3 linked regions of the Oreochromis niloticus genome follow. The protein of the gene in region 3 purifies or fractionates together with the protein of the main gene of each other region. This does not show direct contact. Links are inferred from orthologs where the notes say so. Each region holds a gene or a part of one and is shown on either strand. Other genes may lie near its edges.

Region 1 (3,752 bases), on a different chromosome or scaffold from region 3:
CCATTCATTTTACTATTCCTCCAGTTCTTACGCACGGGCAAGCAGTCCAATGCAAGTGCGCCTTTGTAAGAGGACTGTGATGCAGGGTGTTATTCACCAAAGGGAGATAAGTAGATAATGTGCATTACCTTAACAGAATGTCTGTGTGAAATGGGGTTGATCAGCGGGTCAAAGTAAAATGCGGGAAGATCGGGATCTTCTGTTTTGATAAAAACCACATTTGGTGTGTGGTACCTGGGGAAAACAAAACAAAAACATCACAAGTGTTGCTTTTATATAGCCATTATGAAAAATAATGCAGCAAATCTATGATGTTTATAAGTGATGAATGTCTCTCCTGTCTTGAATGAAAAAGGATTTTTCAGTCAGCCAGCATTTCAAGTAAACAGCAGTTCTCACCAGGTGAGGTGGACGTGGTGCGGCAAATTGTTGTACAGGTAGGGGAAGGCGATTTTGTACTCTGTCCTGATGGGCTGTCGGATGATGATTTTGTTGATGTCGTTGAACTCGTTCCAGTCTTCATCCCTACAGAGGATACAGAGGAACCAGTTAGGACACAAAACAGCCAGCATCTGTTCTCACGTTATGTTTGGATTAAAACAGCAATATCAAATAATTTCCAAGAAATATTTAAATTCTGAAAGCGAAACTATAAAAACTTTATTAACATTAATAACAGTAAGTCTTTAGAATATTCATTTTTTAAAAGGGTGAAAGAACATACTGGAGGTTGATGTCTCTGACCAACGGCTCAAACTTTGGCCCTCCAGGGATGGCCATGTTTAAAGCCTTGGATGTGAAGAAAGCCTTCAGGTCAAACAGATAGAAGTAGTTTCTATCAACCAGATCTGTCAGAAGCTGATTGGCCAGACGGTACAGTGTGGACATCATGGGCAGTGTGAACTGCCAGCGACGATAGGTGGTGCCATTCACAAACCTGAGCAAGACAAAGATAAATCATCAATTAATGTTTCAAGCAACACATCAGTTGAATATGCAAAACTTAAAATCTTTGTCTGTGAAGAGAGCCATGGCTGCTTACTTGGCTGTGTCCTTGAGGGGCTGATGTTCATAGAACCAGTCCACAACTGAAGCATCTTCCTCCGGATCAAGCTCCATCTGAATGGCCTCCAAGGGTTCCACATCAAGAATGTTGTCAGCGTAGTCCAGTGGCGGCTCCTCATCATCAAAGGGTGGAAAGCGCATTCTTTTGAAGTGCCGACGATCTCTTTTCTCACGACGCATCATGATCCACATGGTGCTGGGATTAAAATCGGGAAAGAGACAAATTGAAGTTTTATTGAATGGAAATGAGCACAGTTGGCTTGAAAGTTTTCAGCAGTAGAAACTCTCCCTTACCCCCACTGTGAAATGTAGACTGGCTCAATGACCCAAGGAATTTCATTGACAAAGGAAATGGCTCCAGTGATGTGATAAAGCACGGGCACATCTCGAATCTGTTCCCAAGGCATTGGCATGTTTTCCAACAGCTTCAGCACTGCATGGGGCATGTACTTGAGGGCACTGTTCAACAGACAGACACAGAACGCACATATGAAGATGTTATCAAGAAGAAAACACACCGACTTTTGTTAAGACTTTTAAAAAGAGTTAAAGGAGTCATCTTTACCCAAGGTAGACCCTCTTGTCATGGCGAAACTTTCTATTGGTCATGTCTCCATGGTCCCTGATGATCTTGCGGACATGTTCAGGTGGCATATCTTCTTTCTGAGCATCCACAAACCCAAACTTTCTCTTTTCTGAGTAGCGCTTTGCCTGTAACTGCTGCCATTTTCTTGCTGTAGAGTTGAAAGACATTTAATAATCGCGAAGTTAATCTTGTCTATTTGTGAAAACTTCTTCGCTAAAAGCTCAAAACATGGAAGTCCTGCTTTAGTCAATACAAACAACATACCCTTCTCTTGTAATTTCTCCTCAGACATGTAGTCTGGGACAGGTGCAGGAGGGGGCACACCAGGCGGCACAGCAGGTGGTACCCCTGGTGGCACACCGGGTGGCATCGCTGCAGGGACGCCTCTGTAAGGAAAGGCAGCTGCCATGGTGCCTCACTATCCAAAACAAAGACACAAAACAAGGTATGAAAATAAGTGAGATTTTTGATTATAACTGTATATAATGAAAACCCTGAGGAGAGAGGCTTTACATGTCAAACAAGCCAACTTACACTTAACTTAACTGAAACAAAGACTGATCAGAAACTTATTACATTGGCACATGAATTCCTTGTCTGGCTCCTGCAACCCACAGATTAAATAACAGAAGCCACAAAGTGAACGTGTGTGCTTAATGCCTTGCAAGCTCTGGAAAATAGAATGGCCTTGGAGAAAAATGCCTTTCAAAAATAATAAGTAGCTTCTTAATTCGGTAGAAAATGCATTTATTGCACATTAACTAATCTGTGTAGCTTCAACATCTTCGTGCTCATAGTTGATGAGCTAGCTACGTTAGCCTAACATGGCCTCCCGGATGGCACAAAACTGCAACAGCAAGGCGAACTTTACCCGCGTTTAACTGTCGTTAGCCCGTTCAGAAACAGCGTAAACTCGGGATATCATTCATAAATGGCTACATTATGTTACATGTAACACATTGTAATTCACACTGCAACACTAGTTATTAATTAGGCCAAGCGTGGAGGAAGCGGCAACTTAGCCAACTGCTAAAGCTAGCACGGTGGCTAACGATTGAGTGAGAGGTAAAACTAAGCGATAACAGAATGCATTCAACAACACGTACCTCGCTTACTTCACTCCCAGCGTTTCTTATCGTTGGATAAAGCCTTAATCCGCACACAGTCAGCTAGCACAACATTTCTTTCTTATTCTCCGTGTTTTTCCGCCTCAGTGTTGGGCTGATGTGCGCTAACACAAAACTGCATAAACGCACGACGCACGACAGCGGACACACGATGAACGAGCTTCAGTACTATTCACAGACGGCGGTTACGTCCGATATTTCTCTCCACCGGTAAAGAATCTGCTTTACGTCAGAAAATATGCGTAGACGTTAAACAAGCGCAATTTTTGAGAATACCCGGATGATCATGTTTCCGGCGCACTACTGCCCCCTGCAGTGTTGGAGTGCGATCGTCAGCGATCATATACTGAGTCCTGTAAAGTTTGTGGCTTAAACAAAAACATGATTTGCTGATGTGTTGTATTATTTAATCACATTCAAAGTATTTCATTACAGTTATTTGCTTCTTGTTTTATTTCTGACATGAGGTCATTTATTTCTTTTGTCATTTCCTTTTTGCCCCTTGTACTCCTAGGGACTCCATAGGGACTACAAACACAAGAGCCTGCCAGACCAGACGTCACATAGCAGGTAACAGTGGCGTGTCTAGAAAATTTTTGTTGGGGGGGGCCAGGTAGGGGTACAGATTTGGAGAAGGGTGGCAGATGTAATTGGCAGATAATGTTAAAAAAGAACTTTCTACCAACCGTTAACCATAATTCAATAACCCTATAAACCTAATAACCGAATGCGCTTTTAACTCTTATTAGAATGAGATTTTAACCACTATAGTGCAAAGTTTTTAGATATTGCGTTGATAAAGTACAAGAGATACAATAAGTGCTTTGTCATTGTTTATTCAGCATTCAAGGACAGCAATATTTGCATAGTATTTTTATGGAAATATAGTGCACATATGTTTTGGGCAAAAACATTTTTGAATATTAAAATACGAACATTTTTAACATACAATTGGCAAATTAGCCAATGCCAAT
Region 2 (3,752 bases), on a different chromosome or scaffold from region 3:
TTTTGGGGTCAATGACCTTCCCATTAAGTTTATGTTCTTTCTGTGAGGCAACCTGTAAAGCAATATAGACAATTGACAAAAATTTACATACGTGAATATTTCATCTTTCATCTTGATTTAGCGGAATGGATGTTTGATTGTTTGGGCATCATTGAGACCAAACTTTTATTATATGTTTTATTCATAAACCTCGCAGTACTGTAGTTACATTCATTCTAATTTAAGTCTGTATGACAGGCCAAAAAGGCCAAAAATGAATTTTTTCTGCTAATCATTAAATAAAACTGAAAAAAACCCCCACGCACACAGACATGAAGCTGCACAATCACAGCAAGTTCATGTCTGTTAGAAAAGTAAATTCACTGGTAATTAAAAAAAACACATCCACTTATGGGAACAGGATAATACCTTATCAACACTTTCAGGTTCTTTGAAGAGCACAAACCCAAAACCCCTTGACCGTCCAGTCATGGGGTCCAGCTTTAACGTGCAGTCTACAACTTCCCCAAACTTTGAAAAGTAATCTTTCAGGTCCTTCTTAGTCGTGTCCCAGCTGAGGCCTCCAACAAACATCTTCCTGTTGACAAATCACACAAAAATAAGCAGGTGGTGTCTATGTGTGCAGACTACTTTATAAGACATCTATGCAAGCTTCTTTAAACAGCTGGGCTGCTCAAAGGTCCCCTCATTTGCTAGAAGTAATCTATGTAACTTGCTTAATAAGTAATTTATCATCAATTTACATCCGGACAATACAATATCAAAACACAGCAGATCCTCCATTCATTAGGTGACTAATGAGGACCTGATTTCATCTTTTATGTGCATCCAAAATGTGAACACATACAATGGTTTTTCCGAAATCAAAATGGGCCTTCACATATAAACATGTTTTGTCCATATTAAAATAGAGCAAAGAGTCTGTTACCTTTCTTAACAGAAGCCTGTGAACATCTTCCTGTTGTTTGTGACCATTTGATAAAGAGAAATGTATTTATTCTTGAGTAAATTCAACTATAATCATAAAACGGGGGGTAATTGTTTTGTGATTTTACAGTGATGGTGATTTTTAAATGGTGGAAGTCCGAAACCCCTTTCTATAACAGAATCAGAATACTTTATTGCAGAGAAAACCATGCATATAAATCCACCAGTGAAGTACTGTAGACCTGCAACCAACCAGTTAGCAAGAAAGATGGTTTTGTTTACAACTGCAGTGAAAAAATGTTAAGATATTCCCTAAATTGAACCTGTTCTAATTCTTTTTAATTAAGGGATTCAGTGACCATGTTGATATAAAAGCACTGTGACTCTCAGCCTTTTCTAAAAAGGGAAACAAAAATCCTGCACTGTAATGTATGCTCTTCATACAATTTTGGAACCATTAGCTCCACTAATGATTGATATTGCCAACACTTGAACATTTGCTAATTATTAGCCAATATCCATGAATAGTAACCTAACGCAATCTTCCTCTTTTTGCTGCTCCCATTAGGCGTCGTTAAAACGGATAATCTGCCTATACTTCACCCTATTCTTGGCATCATCTTCTGTCACACCACAGCACAATAACAAACCAATACTCTGTACATGCATCTGTACTTTGATTTTCTGAACAACTGGCAAAGCTGTTTTTCTTAACAGAAAACTGAAAATAATAACAAATATTCAAAATAAATGATATTCGAAAATATCACTTATTTTAGTGTAACATATCCTTTTAAAACCCAAGCTTTTAAAATAGCAAACCGGTAACACTCAAACACCTCGGAAATCGTTCTAGTGTAATGTTTAGTTTATGAATGCAGAAGTAGTACCCAACAATAACAATGCCAGGTCCTGCAAAAATCCGGTCCTGCAGCTACAGCATCTTTTCGATTATCAACAGAGATCAACAGTGAACCTGAGTCTAGCCACCCTTCATCATCACCATACCCTTCATCCTCCTCGTTTTTACTGGCGTCGATCCTTGATCCTTCGGCCTCGCCCCCCATAAGGCCACAGTCCCCCGCTGCTGACATCGGGTCGTCACTGTTCGCCTCTCCATCCTCCTCCATTCTCATCATGTTCGGGTCGTCGCTTAATTCATAATCATCCGACATGTTTCGGCTTTTTCTGGAACAAGTCTTAAACTAAAGCTTCACCCCTAAAGGGCTCTGAAATCCAAGCTACGTCAGATATCTCTGCTGGAGCTAAGCTAACGGTCTGGCTTCTGTCAGCTGATGACAGGCTAGTAGCTGGCTAATATTTTGATATCATATGCTGTTAAATAAAATGTCTGTCGCTAGTTAGAACAAGCTAACTGGTTAGGTTACGTGAATCCAATGTGGGGTTAGTATGAAATTGGAGAAAACACCGCTCGGTATGAAAAAAAAATTAGGTTGAGTTACGATAATATTGAGAGGTGACTTATGAGCGTCGCTTTGTTTTCGTCGCCGTCATTTCTTCTTCGTCGGTTAAAACCGGCTGACAAACCGACGTGAAAGCTAGACCGCCCCCCTCTTTATGTAACAAATAGTACATTTTCGGCTTAATTTCCTCTTTTTTGTGGAGCAGTTTGCAAACTACAGATGAAAAAGAGGAAGTAATTGAGGCAAAAATAAGGAACTGAGCAAAGTAAACAGAAAAATACTAAAGTAGAATTATGTAAAAGACATTTTTCAGTTAGTAATTTATACTCTGAACAAATCTTTGGTCAATAATACACCAAAGACAAAAAGTAGATTCATCATGATTGATGAATCAAATAACCAACCCACCCATCAGCATGTTATAGAATATCATAAGATGCAGAATCTAAGTCATAAAATTTAATTTAATGACTACAGTACTGTGCAAAAGTCTCACCCCTCATTTATTTATATTTTTCTTCCAAGGAGCCAGACTTTTGTCATTTTTTTAACTAATCTTGAGCAAAAATTGTTAAAATCACTTACCTATTGGCACGAACCACTGTTATGTTGACACAAGCTACTTATCAAAGCACCAGTTTTAAATTGCACCTTTAAGGGTTTTTTTGTTTTCCTTTCTTTTTTGTGGTTTTATCATTTGTGATCCTTACTGTTCAATTTGAAAGCACTTTTTTAAAACAGTTTGGACTGAAGAAGAAGACAGGCTTCTGGGGGAGACAAGGCATTTATTAGAAGTCAATTTCCTGAATAATACCAACAATGTTTCACACAAAGTCTGGCAATGTTTCAGTATTTTCACTTCCCAAGATCAACATTACAAATGAACAACAAGTATGGCACATTTAAATAGACACCATTCACCTGTGAGGGGATTAATTAAGACATTCAAACAAAGTTTCAAATGAAGACTCTCATTCTGCTGAGTGCATCTATACTGTAATTATACTTTCTAAAACGAGACAGTTCACTAACTGTACAGGACTCCATACGTCTGCAACACATTTGTTTGGGTAGAGGGGAAGGAAAATGGTACATGAACATTTACAAAATGGTTAAGAAATACAGTTCACGCATATACATTTGGAGAGTGGCAGTCAAATACAGTTCGTCTAAAAGGTAAAAAGCTAGTCTCACATGTCATGTGCAGTTTCCTTCAGGCTTGTAAATGTAAAGCAACAGCTTCCCATTCAATCAAATGGTCCAATGACAATGACGTCCCATTTGTGTTCCTATAATGCTTGGTGCATCCGTTTCTATTCATGAGAAAGGCATCCTGAAAGAACTGCATAGTGAGCCACCTTTAAAGACTGGAATTTCATGATCAGCCCCATTGATTGCCAG
Region 3 (3,752 bases):
TGAAGAAATTGCAAAACTTTCTGGACCGAGTTTGATTTCAGCGCTTGTTAAAAAATCAAGACAAGAATCTGAACTTAGTTAAAGAATCTCCTGGTTTAAAGAAAATACTCTGACCTTTTACCGATTTTTAACAAACTGAATCTCACTGAAAATAAAATATTATTATTATAAACTGTTAAGTCTCTTGTGTTGGAACAAATTAATCATCAGATGTGATCACGCAGTTTGTTGCTTTGCTGTTTGTAAATGCAGAAAGTTTGACTGTGCTGAACCAAATGACTCAGTTTTGTCTTTACGATGTGAAAATACTCTTTTAGATTCCTCTTTTTCTGCCTCAGATGCCCTAAATGAAATCAAGTTCCCACTGAAAATCCATTCGTTTCCTTAAAAACACTTTAAGAGATGCAGGCAGGGCTGTTAGATGATTTTCTACTATTGTTTTCACATGATCTATAAATCTTATTGAGCTCGGTCCTTCAGGTGCTTCAGGTTAAATATCTGGTGCCTTCAGGAGGGGAGCTCAGGTTAACACAGACTGATGAATGTTTCATTTGTCTGTCTGTCATATACAAGAAACATCACCTTCTTTAAAACACTCCAGATCAGCTGGTTTCACAGGAGTTAATGCCTGAATACAAAAAAAATATCAATTCAATATTATATTTTATCCATTCTGTTCTATTTTTTGTTCTGTTCTGTTCTTTTATTCTGTTCTGTTCTTTTATACTTTTCTAATACTTATACTAAATATAAACTAAAGGTTTATAAAACTGGCCTGGCTTTATTACTTTCACTGTAACTGGCATTTATAACTATGAGGCTCAAATCTGTTTCGCTGGTGTAAAGATGACTGACCTCTGTACCAAAGTGTTCATGAAAAGAGAAACATGGAGCACAGCTTTCATGTATTCTCTCCACTGTGTTAGAACAATAAAGGCTAAAAATATTTAGTAAAAGAAGAAGAAGAAGAAACAGAACTTGGTGGAGGACGATTCTCCCTCCGGCCTGAGGGGGCGCTGATGCACCGGGAGTTTATTTATTTTTTAACCGAAAGTGAAGTGCAGCCGGAGGAAGCCAAGGCTGCTAGGCTACCGGTGCTTAGCTGCTGAAGTCTGGAGCAGCTTTTGCATTTTTCTGACCTGACTGTAAGTACAAATACTTCGGGTTATTTATACCTGCATTTCTTCTTAATTTAATCATATTTTTAATGCGACGCGATGTGAGTGGCAGTTCCGGTGATCAGTAGCTAGCAGGGAGCTAACATTAGCCTGCAGTCACGCATTGATTCGGTTAATTTCAGACATTTATGTGAAACTAATTTTTATCTAAATTGTACTGAAAGTTTCAAGATAAGTGACTTAAATTCGTGATTATAAGCCATAAATGTAATTTTACGCTTTGAGGCTAATGTTAAATGCTAGCCAAACATTAGAGAGTTGAATCTGATGATGATAAAAGTCCACAGTAAAAACAACCCGCTGTGCTAATGACGCTGTTATCGTTTGTATCCCGAATCACCGCAGACAGCGGGATTTATCCTAGCAGTGGACAGTAAATGCATCCATGAAGACTGGGTTTGAGTTACTTCATTCAATTTCCGTATTAGATTTATGTTGAGTAAAGTGACTCTGATCCATACAGCCATGTTTACATAAGTGAGTCACTATCAAAGACCCGTTTGGGTTCAGGCAAGACCAAAGTTCATCTTAAAAGGTGGTAAGCAGACAGCAGCAAGGCTTCTACCAGAGTTTGGCCAGTTAATTATTTCAGTAATTTCTTAGATGTGATATTATCATTTCTCAGTTCAGCAAACCGACTTTTTTTGGCAATATTTACTGACTTTCATCCCTCTGTGACTCCAAACCAAATGATGTTCACAGTAAATGCCAGATCTAAGCTAAATATCGAGGAGTTTGACAGCAGTTTATTGTTTCTCAGATTAACGGGTTCACGGAATAGGAGGACCCTCCTGTCAGTCCACCATGGCGGACATCAAGAACTTCCTGTACGCCTGGTGTGGGAAAAAGAAGCTGACTCCAAACTACGACATCCGAGCAGCGGGCAACAAAAACAGGCAGAAGTTTATGTGTGAGGTGAGCGTTCGGTCTGACGTCAGGGGGTTTAACTCTGGGAGGTTTTTGTTAACCTTACACCGTACTCCCTGCAGGTCCGAGTCGATGGCTTCAACTACATTGGGATGGGAAACTCCACCAATAAGAAGGACGCGCAGACCAACGCCGCCCGCGACTTTGTCAACTATCTGGTCCGAATAGGAGAGATGAACGCAGCAGAGGTCCCGGCCATCGGGGTCAGGAAGCTGTTCCTGTTTTTCCTTCTTTTTTTCTGTAGAGATAAAAAACGATCATTTCTCTCACTTTGTCTCTTTTAAATGAACAAGTACGTTTTCTGCCATCAGGTGAGCACGCCCATCGCAGATCAACCTGATGCAGCTGGAGATGCTGGCTTTGGAAACCTCCCTTCTAGCGGTCCTCTACCACCTCACCTGGTAGTGAAAGCTGAGCAAGGTAACGGTAGCATGGTGGCTTTAACGACTCCAAACATCACAAGTTCTTACTTTAATGTGGTGAGTCGAGTCGGATTAAACGGGTTCAGATATTCAGCTGGTTTCTTTCTGCTTCTCCTTCTTTATTGTTCTCAGGGGACGGCAGCGTCAGTGGGCCGGTTCCAGGAGTGACCGGACTGGGTTATGCAGGAGGAGGAAACTCCGGTTGGGGCAGAGGAGGAAGTGACGGAGGAGCTCAGTGGGACCGAGGAGCCAACCTGAAGGAGTATTACGCCAAGAGAGACGAACAGGAAGCACAGGCGGTACAAGATAATTCCAAATTACAGTGCAGTGAAAAGCATTGGTAATGTTAACATTAAGCTCCTTAACAGGAAGTAAGCTGCTCCTAAGTTACAGTCGTCCCCCTAAAGCTCAAATCTGAACCAGAACCTTGGACAGATTTACTAAACTTGGAACAACCAGCCAAGTTTACACTACAGGAACTGCTGTTTCACTCCGAGGACTCTGCTTTCATGAAGGAAACTGGCACTCGGGGAATACTTTTTTTTTTTTTTTTAAACTTCGGCCATTAATAATATGCAGATGCATCATTAGAACCAGAATAAGTTCCCTTTTTTTTAATCTTCAGGTTTGATTTCTCTCCCTCGCTAAACAAACTCCCGCCTGTTGTTTTGTTTGCAGACTCTGGAGTCGGAGGAAGTGGATCTGAACGCTAACCTTCACGGAAACTGGACTCTGGAGAACGCCAAGGCCCGTCTGAACCAGTTCTTCCAGAAGGAGAAAACCAGTGCTGAGTATAAATACAGCCAAGTGGGACCGGACCACAACAGGTCTGGAATCTCAGAGGTTTTTAAACCGGCTGGAAATTCTAAACCAGATCCAGTCTGAGGGGTCACAGCTGGAACCAAAACAAACACTGTGATTTTAATGAGCTTCAGCTGCTTGATAATTCTCTTTAGCTGGAGAAAAATCAGAAGTATTTTCTAAAAGCAACTGTGATTTTGACCAAAGGATTTGATTTCTCAATTTTCAGTGAATTGACTGAATCTCTGCTGGAAGTATTTTGTTTCCCTTCAGTTTGGATTTGGTTTGGAGTTCACTGCCGGCCTTTGGCCACAGACCTGTTTTATTTTGCATGTTCAGACATTAAGTTTATGATTGTACTGATACTGCAGAGCCAGCGCTGCTTATTTTAGTCATTCAGCTCAGAGATAAAGGCAAAGATTGA

The links.
Region 1: the proteins of dhx9 (region 3) and prpf8 fractionate together in Homo sapiens (co-fractionation; 3 studies listed by BioGRID, with this or other methods). This does not show direct contact. The link is inferred for Oreochromis niloticus from reciprocal best matches to the Homo sapiens genes DHX9 and PRPF8.
Region 2: the proteins of dhx9 (region 3) and hnrnpd purify together in Homo sapiens (affinity purification with mass spectrometry; 3 studies listed by BioGRID and IntAct, with this or other methods). This does not show direct contact. The link is inferred for Oreochromis niloticus from reciprocal best matches to the Homo sapiens genes DHX9 and HNRNPD.

Annotation. Positions count from the first base shown.
Region 1 is NC_031979.2:19,593,790-19,597,541, forward strand, and holds the start of prpf8 (pre-mRNA-processing-splicing factor 8), read right to left. Parts: upstream 2,970-3,752; 5' UTR 2,758-2,969; intron 2,070-2,757; 5' UTR 2,061-2,069; coding exon 1,916-2,060; intron 1,800-1,915; coding exon 1,631-1,799; intron 1,525-1,630; coding exon 1,360-1,524; intron 1,262-1,359; coding exon 1,043-1,261; intron 938-1,042; coding exon 725-937; intron 526-724; coding exon 400-525; intron 235-399; coding exon 129-234; intron 1-128. UniProt on the Homo sapiens protein: Plays a role in pre-mRNA splicing as core component of precatalytic, catalytic and postcatalytic spliceosomal complexes, both of the predominant U2-type spliceosome and the minor U12-type spliceosome.
Region 2 is NC_031972.2:11,790,748-11,794,499, forward strand, and holds the start of hnrnpd (heterogeneous nuclear ribonucleoprotein D0), read right to left. Parts: upstream 2,476-3,752; 5' UTR 2,103-2,475; coding exon 1,936-2,102; intron 959-1,935; exon of another isoform or gene 929-958; intron 578-928; coding exon 409-577; intron 53-408; coding exon 1-52. UniProt on the Homo sapiens protein: Binds with high affinity to RNA molecules that contain AU-rich elements (AREs) found within the 3'-UTR of many proto-oncogenes and cytokine mRNAs.
Region 3 is NC_031982.2:34,273,594-34,277,345, reverse strand, and holds the start of dhx9 (ATP-dependent RNA helicase A), read left to right. Parts: upstream 1-993; 5' UTR 994-1,145; intron 1,146-1,938; 5' UTR 1,939-1,982; coding exon 1,983-2,093; intron 2,094-2,167; coding exon 2,168-2,308; intron 2,309-2,416; coding exon 2,417-2,525; intron 2,526-2,659; coding exon 2,660-2,826; intron 2,827-3,205; coding exon 3,206-3,354; intron 3,355-3,752. UniProt on the Homo sapiens protein: Multifunctional ATP-dependent nucleic acid helicase that unwinds DNA and RNA in a 3' to 5' direction and that plays important roles in many processes, such as DNA replication, transcriptional activation, post-transcriptional RNA regulation, mRNA translation and RNA-mediated gene silencing.